Linked DNA regions of Caenorhabditis elegans. The protein of the gene in region 1 interacts with the protein of each later gene in a biochemical or structural test. Each region holds a gene or a part of one and is shown in the gene's direction. Other genes may lie near its edges.

Region 1 (5,900 bases):
GAGGTTGATTCGCAATATTTCTGAATCTGAAAATATTACGAAAAATTCGTAATATTTTGAGATGACAAAGCAATCTTTTGAGATTGGTTCGCAATCTTTCTGAAATCTAAAAATATTACAAAAAAAATGTGTAATATTCTAAGATTAATTTGCAATCTTTTTGCAGTCCATAAAGATTACAAAACACCATTTCCAAATTTCCATCGGCTTCACATGATCGTGATATATACAACAATTATGATTACTGTTCCGTTCTAAATTCTCTTTTCTTCCAAATGATAAAAGACTTTTCAAAGTAAAAAACAGCTACATGAAAATCTATATAATGGAGTATCTCACTGTTAACGGATATTTGATTTTTCGTTGCATATTGTAGAAGGAGTTTTTGCAGAGAAAGCCACAGAATTCACAAATCTGTCCACTCATGTAATTTTTTCTAGATAATTGGCCGGTCATATTATAAATTCAGTCAAACAATCACGAAGATTGGTCGAATACATTAAAGTAGACTTACAACTATTCATTCACGCGTGATGCGTTTGAGATTTTTTGATTTCAATTGAAATCATAAAATATTGTCAACAGCAAGCATGTTCCCAGTATACTCATCATTTTAATCAAATTGTTAGTGAAAAAAAATATTGAAAAAATAAAATGTTATTCTCTCTTTGACAAAAATTCGGAAAAATTGCAATTCTAACATTTTTTAAAGCATAACAAAAAAATCGTTTTTCCACATTCGCTGTCAAAGAAAGTTATCCAATTTCGCTCTGACACTTAGAAAATTTGCGAAAAGTCACTGATTTCCCATCAAAAGTAACGAAAAGGACGTGCGCCCATCAACTATTTACTTAAGCAATAACTAAATCTAGATGCGACACGTTCAGGATGGCTCAACAGGTAAGATAATGGTTCATAGACTCAACGACAAGCGACGGACAAGTTCAACTCCCCTCAATGGCAACAAAAGTTCTTCGAGTTATCACAAAACAGTTCTAGAATAGTCGATGAATGCATTTTTAATATTTAGAGACAAATTCGCAATATTTTGAGACAAAATCGCAATATTCTGAGACGAAATCTCAATCTTCGGAGATGAAATCTCAATCTTCGGAGACTAGTTCGCAGTCTTTTGAGACAAATTAGTAATATTTTGAGATAAAACGGAAGTCTTCCTAGAAATTTTCACACTTTCGCAATATTTTGAGATGAAATTGTAATCTTTTGAGACAAAATTGAAATCTATTCGAAATTTTTAGTAATCTTTATATGACGCACAATTTCTCGTTTTTACTACAAAAATATTGCTATTTAATATTTTCATATTAGATTTGAGTTGCCTGAGCCATTTTGCTGTTTTTTCTCTACTTTTCCTCCTTCCAACTTATTTCTTTTGTTGTTTTTCCTCGGTTTTTGATTGCTTCTTGAAAGGCAAAGTGGCGGAAAGCGAAATTTTTAAGTATTTTTGTTATTAAAATTGAGCTCAGCGTCACGTTTTACCTTGATTGGGACACTTTTCACATTTTTTAAAAATCATATGTGAATTTTGCCGTAAGGTTCGGTGTACTGCGTATAATTGAGTTCAAAAACTCTTTCATTTTCTGCTTAACTCTATATGAAAATTTCAAAATAAAAATATTTTTTCAGATTCCAGCAACGGCACAAATAATGAAATCTGTATAAATTGGAGGAAACATTAGAAAAGTGTCGGGCAAGAAGTACAAAAATCAACAGATAGGAGATGGTGCAGTTAGATCGTTTTGAAATTTTGTTCAACAACCCTGAACAGGCGTATTTTGCCGGTCAGGAAATCTCAGGAAAAGTAGGTGTACCCTTTTAAAAATTGATTTTCAAGCGTTTTTGTTACCAATTTGCCTACTTTTCCGGCTTTTCCATCAAGCGAATGGACTAACATCAACATAAAGATGCAGTTTCATGAAGTGTTGAATGGGATAATACAACATATGCTTCTCTCTTGCTCTCTTCATTTTAAAAGTTCAAGAATAGCTCTTTAATTTTTAATAAATTATCTTTATTAATTTCGAGTTTTTGCTTTCGGCAAAATTTTCTATTTTGTTCGTTTTGTCGTAAGATTGAGCTTACTTTGTAAGTTGGCGCTAGAAGCCCAGAAAAAAGATATATACTTACTTACTAAGTAAGTGAGTAAGAAAACTTTGAGGAATTTCAATTTTTAAGCAATAATAAAATTTGCAGGTTATAATAGAAAATAAGGAGCCAAAAAAGGTCAATGAGATTCTACTGGAACTGAAGGGCAGAGCAAGAACCTACTGGACAAAGCATTCTGGTAAGCGCAATTTCTGAAAAAAAATTGTTTTTTTTTAAATATTTTCAGGAAAATCGCGAAAACATTGTTCTCACTCGGAGCCCTACTTTTTGGAGCAATTCAATCCTGGCTACACGCACAAATTCACAGTTGTAAAAGACGGAAAAGAAAAGGAAAGGATACTTCCCGCCGGCATTCATCAGGTAAATTTCTGTGAAAAAGTTGACCATTCATTGATAATATTCATTTCACTTTTTTCTCGAATTTTGTACATTGTGTCGAATCATCTCGAATGGTATACATAGTGTAAACTGTCAAAAGTTAACCAAACCATATAAATATTGCAGGTCCCATTCTCGTACACTTTGCCAAAATCACTGCCATCCTCATTTGAAGGCGAATTCGGACACATCCGGTACACATGCAAAGCCATTTGTGAACGACCATGGGATTTTGATATTGTTAGCAGAAAAGCGTTTACGGTAGTTGGTATCGAAGATATTAATTCGGACCCTAAGGTAGGCAAGTATTTGTCAATTTGGCTCATTTTTGAGCCAAGTTAAAAGAAAAACTTATTATCAGTTTATAATTTTTTAATTTTTGATAAGTAGGGCCACAGGATCAAACATCTTGCATGCAGACATTCAAGGAGTTATAATAAATTTAATTTTTTTGTAGATAGTTTGCCAGTTGACAGTTTGCTGGTGTTTTGTCAACTCGCCGAGTTGCAAGAGTTGGTGGTCAGCATAAAGGCCTTTAATCTCCCCTGTGAACAGAACATTAGACGAGTTTTCAACTGAGTAGATTATTTTGTTAGTTGACAATTTACAACCACGTCTCACTGCGGTGGTAAAAGGTTTTAATCTTGTGTAACCTCCAAATTGGAACAAATTACGGTTTTCCCGATTTCAAATTACAATTTTCCCGATTTCCAGCTCAATGAGCCTGCCACATGCGTGGAATCCAACCATGCTGTCACATTTTGTTGTCGGTCAGCCGGCAGCGTTACCGGCGAAATTCGAATATCAAAGTGCGGCTATACTCCCGGAGAAAAGATAGATGTCAGCTTTAAGTTAGTATTTTTGCTAAATGCATATGTTAACCTCATTTTTTGTAGAGTGATAAATCTGAGCTCCAAAACTAGAACTACTGCTCTCCGATTCGTGCAGCAAACCACGTACAAGGCCAAAACATTCGCCGGCCACGAGCACATCAAGAATGTGGTTCGCGTGATCTCAAAAATTGACAAAGGAGAGGTGCCAGGTGGAAGTACCACCGAATGGCAAGAAGAATCCATCACAATCCCATCGTTGCCACCGAAATTGGGAAAATGCAAAATTCTGTCAGTTACCTATTCGGTCGAATTGGAAGTAAGTAATACCAGTTTGTTAGATAATTGATAAATTTCCTCGGATTTCGGACCCATAATGGGGTTATCCAAGGAGTGTTGCGGAATGTATTTAATACATTTATGACGGGACAACTGTGTTAAAATACATGTTTTTATGAATTTTAATACAGTTCTGACGTCATTTTTATACACTTTTTAATTTTCGGACGCTACTTGAGTAACCCCATTAGAAGAACTTTAAAGCTTCTTGACGAATTTCAAAAAAAAAATTCAAATTCTTGTAACTCACGAGAAAGGTTTTTAACATAATTTTTAATACGAACAAAATATTCCACATATATTTACTGTTCTATCTTATGTTAGTTGACAATTTACTGCCATCTCTGCAAAGTTAGATGAGGTTGACCACCTACAAAGAACTTGCTCTGATACATCCTCTAACTTGGTGGAAAGTTTCACAAAATGATCAACTGCCAAATACTATACATAACAATTTCTACACCTTTTCAGATTATTATTTCTGTATTGAAAAACCCCGGCAAGATATGAAATTTTGGAAAATATTAACTAATGAGTTTTTGCAAGTTTCTACTAAAAAAAACCATTTGACAATGCTACCTTTTCTCAAACACTTAGCTCTTTAGGTCGAGCAAACGCTCACAGTGCCGTGTCCAATTGTCATTGGTTCCATCCCGCAGCTTTCTCAACTTCTGATCCATTCCAAACAGTCCGTGCAGAGTGCCGGCAACGGCTCTTTACCGAAAAGTTCCATAAAGGATAGTCCACCAAAATGGGATAGCGAGAGTTGTGTGCAGGTTTGTTTTTACAAGGGTAAACACGTTTTACACGCCTAATTCAGGTGACAATCACAGATGAGAGTGGTCAGCTGGTGGAGGAACTCGGCAACGAAATGGAAGCCTTATTGTCAGCTCGAAAACGAGTACGAATGCCCTCCTCGATCCTCAGCGAGCTGTATCCAACAATGCCGAGCCCGTATTATAAGTGAGTTCGGGCAAAAACTTAGGTGCTTTAAAATTGGGGACTTAAACTTTCATTTTTCGATTTTCTGGTATTACGTAGACGTCTAAAGATGAGAATTTTCGCCATATCTTACGCGCATTTTCGCCAGATCTTACGCGCATACTGATACTCCAGACTGGCAGCTATTGCACTATCCTTTTAGGAAAAAAAATATGCTGCCACAATTTTTTACTTCTATTACGGGAACACAAAACTCAGGGAATGCGTACATTTGACGCGCAAAATATCTTGTAGCGAAAACTACAGTAATTCTTTGAATGACTACTGTAGCGCTTGTGTCGATTTACGGGCTTGATTGTCTAAATGAATTTTTTTACAAATATTTAATGTCAGAGATATTCCATTTTCCTTCGTTTCTTCGTATTATTTTCTCATTTTTGCTTGATTTTAATTTATTCCGAAAATCGAGTCCGTAAATCGACACAAGCGCTACAGTAGTAATTTAAAAAATTACTGTAGTTTTCGCTACGAGATATTTTGCGCGTCAAATATGTTGCGCAATACGCAATTTTTTAGTTTTTAAAATTTTTATAGTTTTTACAAATTCCCTGAAATTTTTCAGAGAATCATTCTTCGGCGCCAGTGACATATCAGAGGAGAAGGAGCAAGCACAGTTCGGTGAAGCCTCATTTGCGCCCAAATATCCATTTTATACCGATTAATATTTTATCATTTTGTCTCGAGTGTTACTTTCGCTTGGAGGGGATAATCAATAAATTCCATGCTTTTTCAAATTTTGTTGCACTTTCGATTCAGATTTTTTTTAAAAAACAAGTTTAAAAAACATATTTTCTGATTCCCTAATTCACTATCACAAACAATTCCCTAAAAAGCCTTATCACCTGAACCCCGTGGTGAGGTCTGCGTCTTCTCAGAGCACACAATGTCTTGTCGGTTTGCGTCAATTGGTGACGGTCATACGGTTTTTGGTGCTTGTTGTTTTGCATTTTTATCTATAAATAGGGTGTGAGGAGATAAGTTTCATTCAACTTTTTAAAGTTTTCGTGAGTGAGCTTCAATGCCTGCCTGCCTGCCTATAGTCTGATTTCTGTGATGATTAAGTGTCCGGTGTTTGCATAGATTTACGCGTTTCTAATTTTACTTTCTAATTACATGTATTTTGACAGTAGACACGAGGCAGGCAAGCATTTTCATGCCTACACTGAGAGACCTACTTTTTCATACTGTTTTCAACTTGGAAAGTTCTTCGGGGTTTTAAATGCT
Region 2 (8,037 bases), on another chromosome or scaffold:
CTGACCCACGCGACGGATTGCGGATCTTTGTTTCTTTTGACATCTCAACACTCTCTTTTCACTCGTTCTCTTATCTTTCTAGCTCCTACCCAGCATACACATCATCGTACCAACAAATTTGTATGCATGAAGTATCTATTGGACTCCTTGTTTCTGTCCCTTTTCATGATTATACCAGAGGGACCTATCTTTTTGGAAGGAATAAACAACAACAACAAGCCTTTCTTAGTGATGACTAAAAATTTAAGAATGGAACTATTATGTCGTTTAGAGAATTTTCATGTTCTGTTTTTACAATACATAGAGTTTCCGATTTTTTTTACTTTTTCTTTTTGTCTGAAATTTGTTTTTTTTTGTGTTTATTTTGAGAGTAGAAAGCCTGGTTTTGCTAAATTTTCCACCTATAATTTTTAGACAACATTTGAAACGTGCTTTAACTGAAACTGTCTATTTCTCTAATTTTCTCCGTTTCTGTCGCATCGCTACATATGTTTACCCAATTTCCGTGCTGCTTCTTTTCATTTTTCATTGTGCCTTATCGATAGAGAGAAGCAGAGAAAAAGAGCATCTCTCTCACGCAGAGGGAAAAAAGGTTTTTTATCGATAACACACACCGCCCATTACTTTTGATCTTTCCCTTTTTCAAAGTCATGTGGGTTTTTGGTTCTGCTCATAAATGATTTAATCAATACATAGCATGAGTTGAACAGTAGTTAGAAAATGACATCGCTCCTAGGAAGAAGACATTTTCAACTTATAAAATTGTTTGAAAGTTCTATTTTTAAATACAAACACTTAGAGTTGTACAGTACTACAACTGATATCGTTTTTTTTATTTGTATTGCACTACCTAGTATACATAAAACGATAGAAACAGAACAATTATTTTGTCAGTTGACAAAACGACAGAGAAACTGTCAGAATTGAATAATTCGCGAAATAAAAAATAAAGTGTGGTATTGACTGTTTTTTTTTTGAAGATGATGCTGAATTTCCTGATAAAGTTGTCAAAAATGAATGATGTTTAAGATATTTTTGAAGAAACGTTCGGAATAAATTTGTTCTCTAGAATAATTATATAGTTGCTCTCTCAATGATGTAAATCATATTTTGATGACATTTTAGCTTTAAGAAAATTCGCTAATAAATTGGTTGTAATGTTTCTCAAATAAATTTCTCTTGATTCTCCTTCCAATTCTCAATTGTTCCTTTTCTTCGTCTTTTCCAAAGGAACCCCGCCCATTGTTGTCGCCTTTTGGCATGCACAACTAGTTTTCCCTTCAATCTGAATTATTCGATTGGTCAAGCTTCTTTTCTTTTTCTTATTGAATTTAAATTTTTAACTATCAATTTGTTAAATTGAACGGAAAGCTTTGCATTGGAACATCTTATTTTTCGGGGACGTTATTCTTTCATAATCGTTATTTAATTCGTAAATGTTGAACTTTTTCTCTCCGTATGACAAAAATTGACCAAAATGTTGATTGCAGGCCTGTGAAAGATCGATCCGTCGTGCCGTGGTGTGAAGAGAAGTGACGTGAAACGGTCCGAAGGAGGGTATCGTACTGTTTCGCAAAGCTACATCATCTCCACACATAGCCGTTTCCCCGCTTCATCTACGGGTTCATACCAAACCAGAGTAGCTCATTCACTCATTTTTTTGAACAAAAAGGGTTCGTTTTCATTTTCCAACAAAATACATCCGATCCGTCAGTGGCGCCGCGCGCCGAAAAAGGAAAATATATGAGGTATTGGCCTCTCTCTCATAAAAGTCATAAAAATTGAATCGCCATGGTGTCCGCGAGAGAAGGAGAGCCGCGTGAGAGACTAGAAGAGAAATGAAGAAAAAAGGAAAAAAAGGAGCTCAAGAATACAAGTCAGCTGCCCCAAGATACTCGGCTCCGCGCAACTCCACACCATTTCCAGAGTTTCCCTCACTTTCTTACAATTTTGAATTGCAGGTGAAACAAAAAATCAGTCGATAAAAGGAAAAGTCATCATCAATTTTAAATATATAAACACACACAATGGCCTCGACATCGGCAGGACAGAACTCTGCAGCTAAACGTAAGTATTTACTGAATCCTCGTCTGAAACTACCATTGTTTTTATTCTTATTTTTTGCAATTTAAGACTATCGCTAAAATCAGCAAACATTGAGCATTTTTTGAATAAATTTCAAAAAGTTAAATAGTCCATTTTCAATTTTAGTAGGAACTAGAATTTTCATTTTCTTTGATTGGGAAAATACGGGAAAAGAACAATATTTTTTCAAATCAATTTATTTTGAAGTTTGGTTTCCGTTTCACGTTACATACCTTTAAATGTTATCGAAAAATTAGTTGTTGTTTTCCCTCTATCTCCTTTTGCCCCCTCGAAAAATGATTTTAGAAGGAAATAGAGACACAAATCGAATTTGTAGTGTTGTTGTGCATCATCACACACGCAGTCGTCGGGGGCTTCATCCTTTTTCTAGGTGTCTCTATCCGAAAAAATCTAGCGAAAGAAAAATGGATCTCATCTGGAATGCATGAAAAGAACCATTTTTTCAGCTGACACTACCAACACTACCACCACCGCCTCGAACAACAATCGTGAACGCGAACGTGATTTGAAGCAGTTCACCGAACGATTTGTCAAGAGTAAGTATTTGGCTTCTGCAGTCGGGCGGCAGTTTGAAAAAGAAAAACCAATTAAAGTGTTTCTTGCTTCAGGTTACGGAGAAAAGCGCCATGCTCTTTTTTTCTCTTTTTTTTTGCGCAGCACACCACAACCACCCCCATCCACCCTCACATTGGCACACACACATTGAAGAAGCCAGAAATTATACGCGCAGAGAATTTTTTTTTTTGCTTGTCCCGTTGTCGTCGTGAGCTGCAGAGCCGCAGAGAGTTTCTTCTCGTCTATTCTCAGCGCAAACTCTCACTGTCTGACTCACGCGGGTCCGTTGCTCTGAGGAGCTCACCAATGGCTCCGCGTCGGCTCACCAGGCACATAGAAAATATATCGAGAGATAGAGAGTTCTTATTCTCTCTGATTCTCTCTCCGTCATTCTCTTTTTCTATTCGAAAAGATTCTGACGAAGTCGCCGTCATTGGCGTCGTCGTGTGTGTGAGAGAAGACGGGAAGGAAGGGGAGTGAGTGACTGCTGTAGCTTGAAATCGAAAATTAATCCCGAAACGCTTGAGAGGGTTCCCATAGTAATTTAGGAGGGCGGCGGCGGCTCGGGCGCCATGTGGGGAAGATGAGCGTGAGAAGAGCATGGAATTTGAGAAGAATTGAAAAAAAAATAGAAGAAGGGAATAGAAAGATGAAGGAATTCGGAAGTAAAATGGAATAATGAAAACATTATATTTTTTCTAATTTCTCATTTTTCAGCCGTTCAATTTCCTGTTTCCGAACGCCTTACCGTTGATCAGGTCTACGACCGGCGGACTGGAAAACCAAGGCATGAAGTTCTTCGAGATCATTTTATTAAGGTGTGGAATAGATTTTTAAGAATATAATCAAATCAACAATTTTGCAGGAAGGAAGGATAGAAGAAGAAGCCGCGATTCGTGTGATTCAAGAATGCTCAAGCCTGTTCCGCAACGAAAAAACGATGTTGGAAATCGAGGCGCCGGTTACTGTATGCGGAGACATTCATGGTCAATTCTACGATCTCATGAAACTATTCGAAGTTGGCGGATCGCCCGCAACTACCAAGTATCTATTTTTGGGTGACTACGTGGATCGAGGATACTTCTCGATTGAATGTGTCCTGTATCTGTGGGCACTCAAAATCTGCTATCCGACCACGTTGTTCTTGCTTCGAGGAAACCATGAATGCCGTCATTTGACAGAGTACTTTACATTCAAACAAGAATGCAAGATCAAGTACTCTGAACGGGTATACGATGTGTGCATGGAGTCATTTGATGCTCTACCGTTGGCAGCTCTCATGAACCAACAATTCCTTTGTGTTCATGGTGGATTGTCCCCAGAAATCCATACTTTGGAGGATATCAGGAGGGTTAGTGAAAAACATGAGATCTAAAACTAATATTTTGAAAAATACCGTATTTCTCTATTAGTACGGTACCCGTTGTCGTTTGTTCTATCAAAAAATTCTCAATTAACAAAATATTTGTTAGTTCTTTTTCAATATATTTTCAATTAATTTCTTTGATATGTATCATGAACCGAGTGAAGTTTTTAAAGTGAAATAGTTAGGTGCAATACTGAGAGAAAATTTACGGTATATGTTTGTTTTATATGTTTTAAAGTACTGTTTAACTTTAATCCGAAATTACGACCATATCTTAAATGTCTATTTAATTTGTTGACTTTCAGATAGACAGATTCAAGGAGCCCCCAGCATTTGGTCCAATGTGTGATCTTCTCTGGTCAGACCCACTTGAAGATTTCGGAAACGAAAGGAATTCAGAACAATTTAGTCACAATTCGGTTAGAGGGTGCTCATACTTTTACAGGTATCCCATTCACTATAATCTTCATTTTAATAGAACGAAATATTATAGCTACGCTGCATGCTGTGATTTCCTGCAACACAACAATCTGCTCTCCATCATTCGCGCACATGAAGCTCAAGATGCCGGGTAAGAGCTTATCCGTCGCCAGGAGATGCGAAAAGAGAACCTTAATCCTCTTTTCTAATTCTACTCTATTTTCCAGATACCGCATGTATCGCAAATCTCAAGCCACAGGCTTCCCATCGTTGATCACCATCTTCAGTGCTCCAAATTATTTGGATGTCTACAACAACAAAGGTGAGAGGAAATATGGGAATGGCATTTTTTGACGGAGAAACAAAAAGAAAACAAAATTCGGAAAATTAAACATTAAACATTAAACAACTTAACAATTTTCAGCTGCCATCCTGAAGTACGAGAACAATGTGATGAATATTCGTCAATTCAACTGCAGTCCTCATCCATATTGGCTGCCGAACTTTATGGATGTGTTCACGTGGTCATTGCCGTTTGTGGGAGAAAAAGGTATAGCAAGAAATATGTCGAAAACCAAATGAGATTTCCTTTTAGTAACGGAGATGCTGGTTCACATTCTCAACATTTGTTCTGACGACGAGCTGATGGCTGAATGCGATGACACCTTTGAAGGTATGTTCATGATTAAGCACTGGCTCCCTCAAAGGAGGTCCTACTGCGTAAAAAACTAGGTCACTTTAATATGAATTATTTCACAACAAAAAATATTTATGTATATATAATTTTTTTAAATTAAAATAATCTTCTACCGCCAATTTTGTCTCTATACACTTTCAATGATTTTGTCTTGTGCTCGGCTCAAATTGGCAAATGAAAAGCCGCATTGAAACGTTCTCCCCAAGAGATGGAATACATGTGTTTTTTGCTCGATTAATTTATATATATATTTGTAAATGTATATCTTAACAAGAACAGAAAATTGTTCCTATTCACCTCATATCACTCTTTTCTCCTACTGTGATATAAACTAAGGAGAGGAGAAGAAGAAGAGAGACTGTTTGAAAATTAATAAGGCACTGAGAGTTTGAAAGGGAAATAGGAATATTTCCAATTTTCCTTCAAAAACCTCAAAAAATGCACAAAAATCGGTGTTGTGTGTCCGGTACGGTTCTCTCTCTCTGTCTCTCTTCTACTTCTTTTCTCTCTAGTTTCTTGCCTTTTCCTTTCCTTCTCTTTTTTCCTTTTTCTTTCCTTCTTTTCTCCCTTTTTTTGAATATTTGGTCATTGTTTGAATGTTGTGCTACTCTTTTTTTGATTGAGCTCTCTGAAAAAGAAACCATGAGAAAGAAAAGGAAAAACGAAAAAAGGTATTGGCATGAGAATTGATATTTCTGTGTGAGTGTGCGTGTGTGCTCTGACTGAGAATGACTGAAATATATAGGTGTTCTCTTTTTCAGTTTGACATGATTGATTACTTCAGTTCAAAACTGTAACTATTGTACTCATCTGAATTAGCATTTCTCAGCAGTCATACGCTCCCTATGTGTACAGTATTCAAAAGATTAGCGCCACTTTGTAGGTTTAATTTTTTGTAGGATTTCACACTTCAAATTGAAATATAGTTTTTCGAACGATGTAGAAATGCTAGTCACTAGTACACAAACCATGATGTCGATTGAGAAAAAAACGCATGTATTGTTGACCTTGAGCATAGCAGAGCACTACTTGTAGAAATTTTGAGCTCATTTGCCGGAGCCATGTTTGGCTTGGAAGACATTTTGTCAATAGAATTGAATGACAGAAGTACCATGCCATCGTAAGAATATCATCATCCCTTAATTTTTGTCTATTGTTCTAAAACCTTGAAATGTCGGTAAACTTGTTACCTTTTCCCAGTGTTGCAGGCTTGAACTTGTTCTGAAAATCCAATAAAATTTTGACAAATTTGTCAGAAACTGTGTTTTCAAGCCGTCCGTTTTTTCCTTAACCGCACGCGCCTTTAAAAAAGTTAAATGTTAAAATCTCAGTAAAGATCTAAACATTAATCTCAAAACTAGCTACAAAAAAATAATGAAAAAGTCTAATCAAAATTTTAAGGAGCAGATGGTAAGTGGATATTCCCCTACCCACCACACACTGGTGACGTATGTTTGACTATCAGATTTAGTTTTATTTTTTCTTTAATTTTTTACCAAACTTTCTTCGGAACACCCTAAACAACACCCACCTCGGGCGTTTGGCGCTTATACACCATTTCTTAGTTTGTTTTATTTTTCTCTCTGAATACGGCTTTCTATTTATTTGACTTTTATGTGGCTGCTCTGCTTATCTTTTTTGTTCCGTTTTTCTAAAAAAAAATACGTTGCTTTTTTCTAATTATAATTGTTTTAGTTGTTTCATTTGGCTGTGTGCTGCTAAACTTTTAACGCCTTGTGTTTTGCATGTTTTATGTCGGATTTCCAACCTGGTCTTCTCCTGTGTTTTGGTCTCTTTTCAAAAATTCTGAAAATTCCAATTTTAAACATTGAAAAAAAATAGAAAGTCAAAAAATCGAAGAAAATGAAAGAATTCGAGCAGTCTAAAATTCAAAATTCTCTCACTTGGTTTTGATTCCCCACCCTAAAAATTAGTTACTAATTGGAAGAAATGGGTGTCTTTATTGGGATTTTTAGGGGTACGGTATAAGAAATGAGAAAGTGGAAATTTCCCCAAACCTGTGAGAAAAGACCTTGAAGTGTATATTTTTTCTATACATAATATTTTCTCAAAAAGGTTACTTTATATTTTATTAGTATATTACGGTATATTTGAAAAATTATTATGAAATTGTAAAAGTAGAATTGATGTTTACTCGACAAGAAGATTTTTTAAACTATGAGTTTTTTGGCTATTCTTACGGAACATAATCTTGGAACGAAATAAGAAAATGTTAACAATCGAACAAGTTTAGTTTTTTGTATAAAAAATTGTAGTTAAATTAACTAGACAAATAAATTTTCTTTTCCAAGAGCATAAAACTTCTTTAAAACTATTTACAACAAAAACTACCGTAATCCCTTCAAATCCCAATGGGACCCGTTTCCTCTAACTCAACCTCTATCATTTTCGGTGACGGTTGGCACATTGCAAAATCCCAAATTTTTACCCCCTTTGCCCTCCCCATATTCACACTATTTACAAGTAGTAATTTTTCACCTATTAGCCAATATATATGTACATGGCTTTCATTTTATTTTTGACATTTTTCTAACTTCATTCGGGGATTTCTATTGATTGGTAATGTGGTTGCCAGTGAATGGTGTCACCCCTTTTGAAGTTGTTGCCATGTCATTTGTAAATGTTGACGGTTCTTTTTTAAAAATTAATTTTTCAGGTGGAGTGGGGTCTGCAAGAAAAGAGGTTATTCGACACAAGATTCGAGCAATTGGAAAGATGGCAAGAGCATTCTCAGTTCTTCGGTAAGTTGATTAATTTTTTTCAATTTTAAACCGAATTTGTATGAATTTAAATAGAAAGTTTTTTTCTATTATAGAATGAGCATTTTTTTTAGTTAACTTTTATTTATTTTTGATAACATATATCTTAATTT

Evidence for each region. Proteins that work in one complex are often made in the same cells at the same time.
Region 2: of the proteins of arrd-17 (region 1) and tax-6, one has a biochemical effect on the other in vitro, tested with the Caenorhabditis elegans proteins (one study listed by BioGRID).

What each region holds. Positions count from the first base shown.
Region 1 is NC_003281.10:13,626,556-13,632,455, reverse strand, and holds arrd-17 (Arrestin domain-containing protein 17), read left to right. Parts: upstream 1-1,647; 5' UTR 1,648-1,741; coding exon 1,742-1,822; intron 1,823-2,214; coding exon 2,215-2,305; intron 2,306-2,353; coding exon 2,354-2,487; intron 2,488-2,631; coding exon 2,632-2,802; intron 2,803-3,219; coding exon 3,220-3,356; intron 3,357-3,401; coding exon 3,402-3,654; intron 3,655-4,279; coding exon 4,280-4,450; intron 4,451-4,494; coding exon 4,495-4,637; intron 4,638-5,238; coding exon 5,239-5,338; 3' UTR 5,339-5,400; downstream 5,401-5,900. UniProt on the Caenorhabditis elegans protein: Involved in several behavioral responses including chemotaxis towards lysine and adaptation to repeated osmotic stress. In addition, plays a role in resuming egg-laying and locomotion after starvation.
Region 2 is NC_003282.8:10,495,051-10,503,087, reverse strand, and holds the start of tax-6 (Serine/threonine-protein phosphatase 2B catalytic subunit), read left to right. Parts: upstream 1-2,027; coding exon 2,028-2,067; intron 2,068-2,552; coding exon 2,553-2,642; intron 2,643-2,890; exon of another isoform or gene 2,891-3,169; intron 3,170-3,378; coding exon 3,379-3,479; intron 3,480-3,526; coding exon 3,527-4,012; intron 4,013-4,332; coding exon 4,333-4,472; intron 4,473-4,520; coding exon 4,521-4,598; intron 4,599-4,674; coding exon 4,675-4,769; intron 4,770-4,871; coding exon 4,872-4,997; intron 4,998-5,042; coding exon 5,043-5,120; intron 5,121-6,545; coding exon 6,546-6,554; intron 6,555-7,821; coding exon 7,822-7,906; intron 7,907-8,037. UniProt on the Caenorhabditis elegans protein: Calcium-dependent, calmodulin-stimulated protein phosphatase. Dephosphorylates arrd-17. Dephosphorylates daf-16 at 'Ser-319' which regulates daf-16 nuclear translocation. Dephosphorylates calcium permeable cation channel pkd-2 at 'Ser-534'.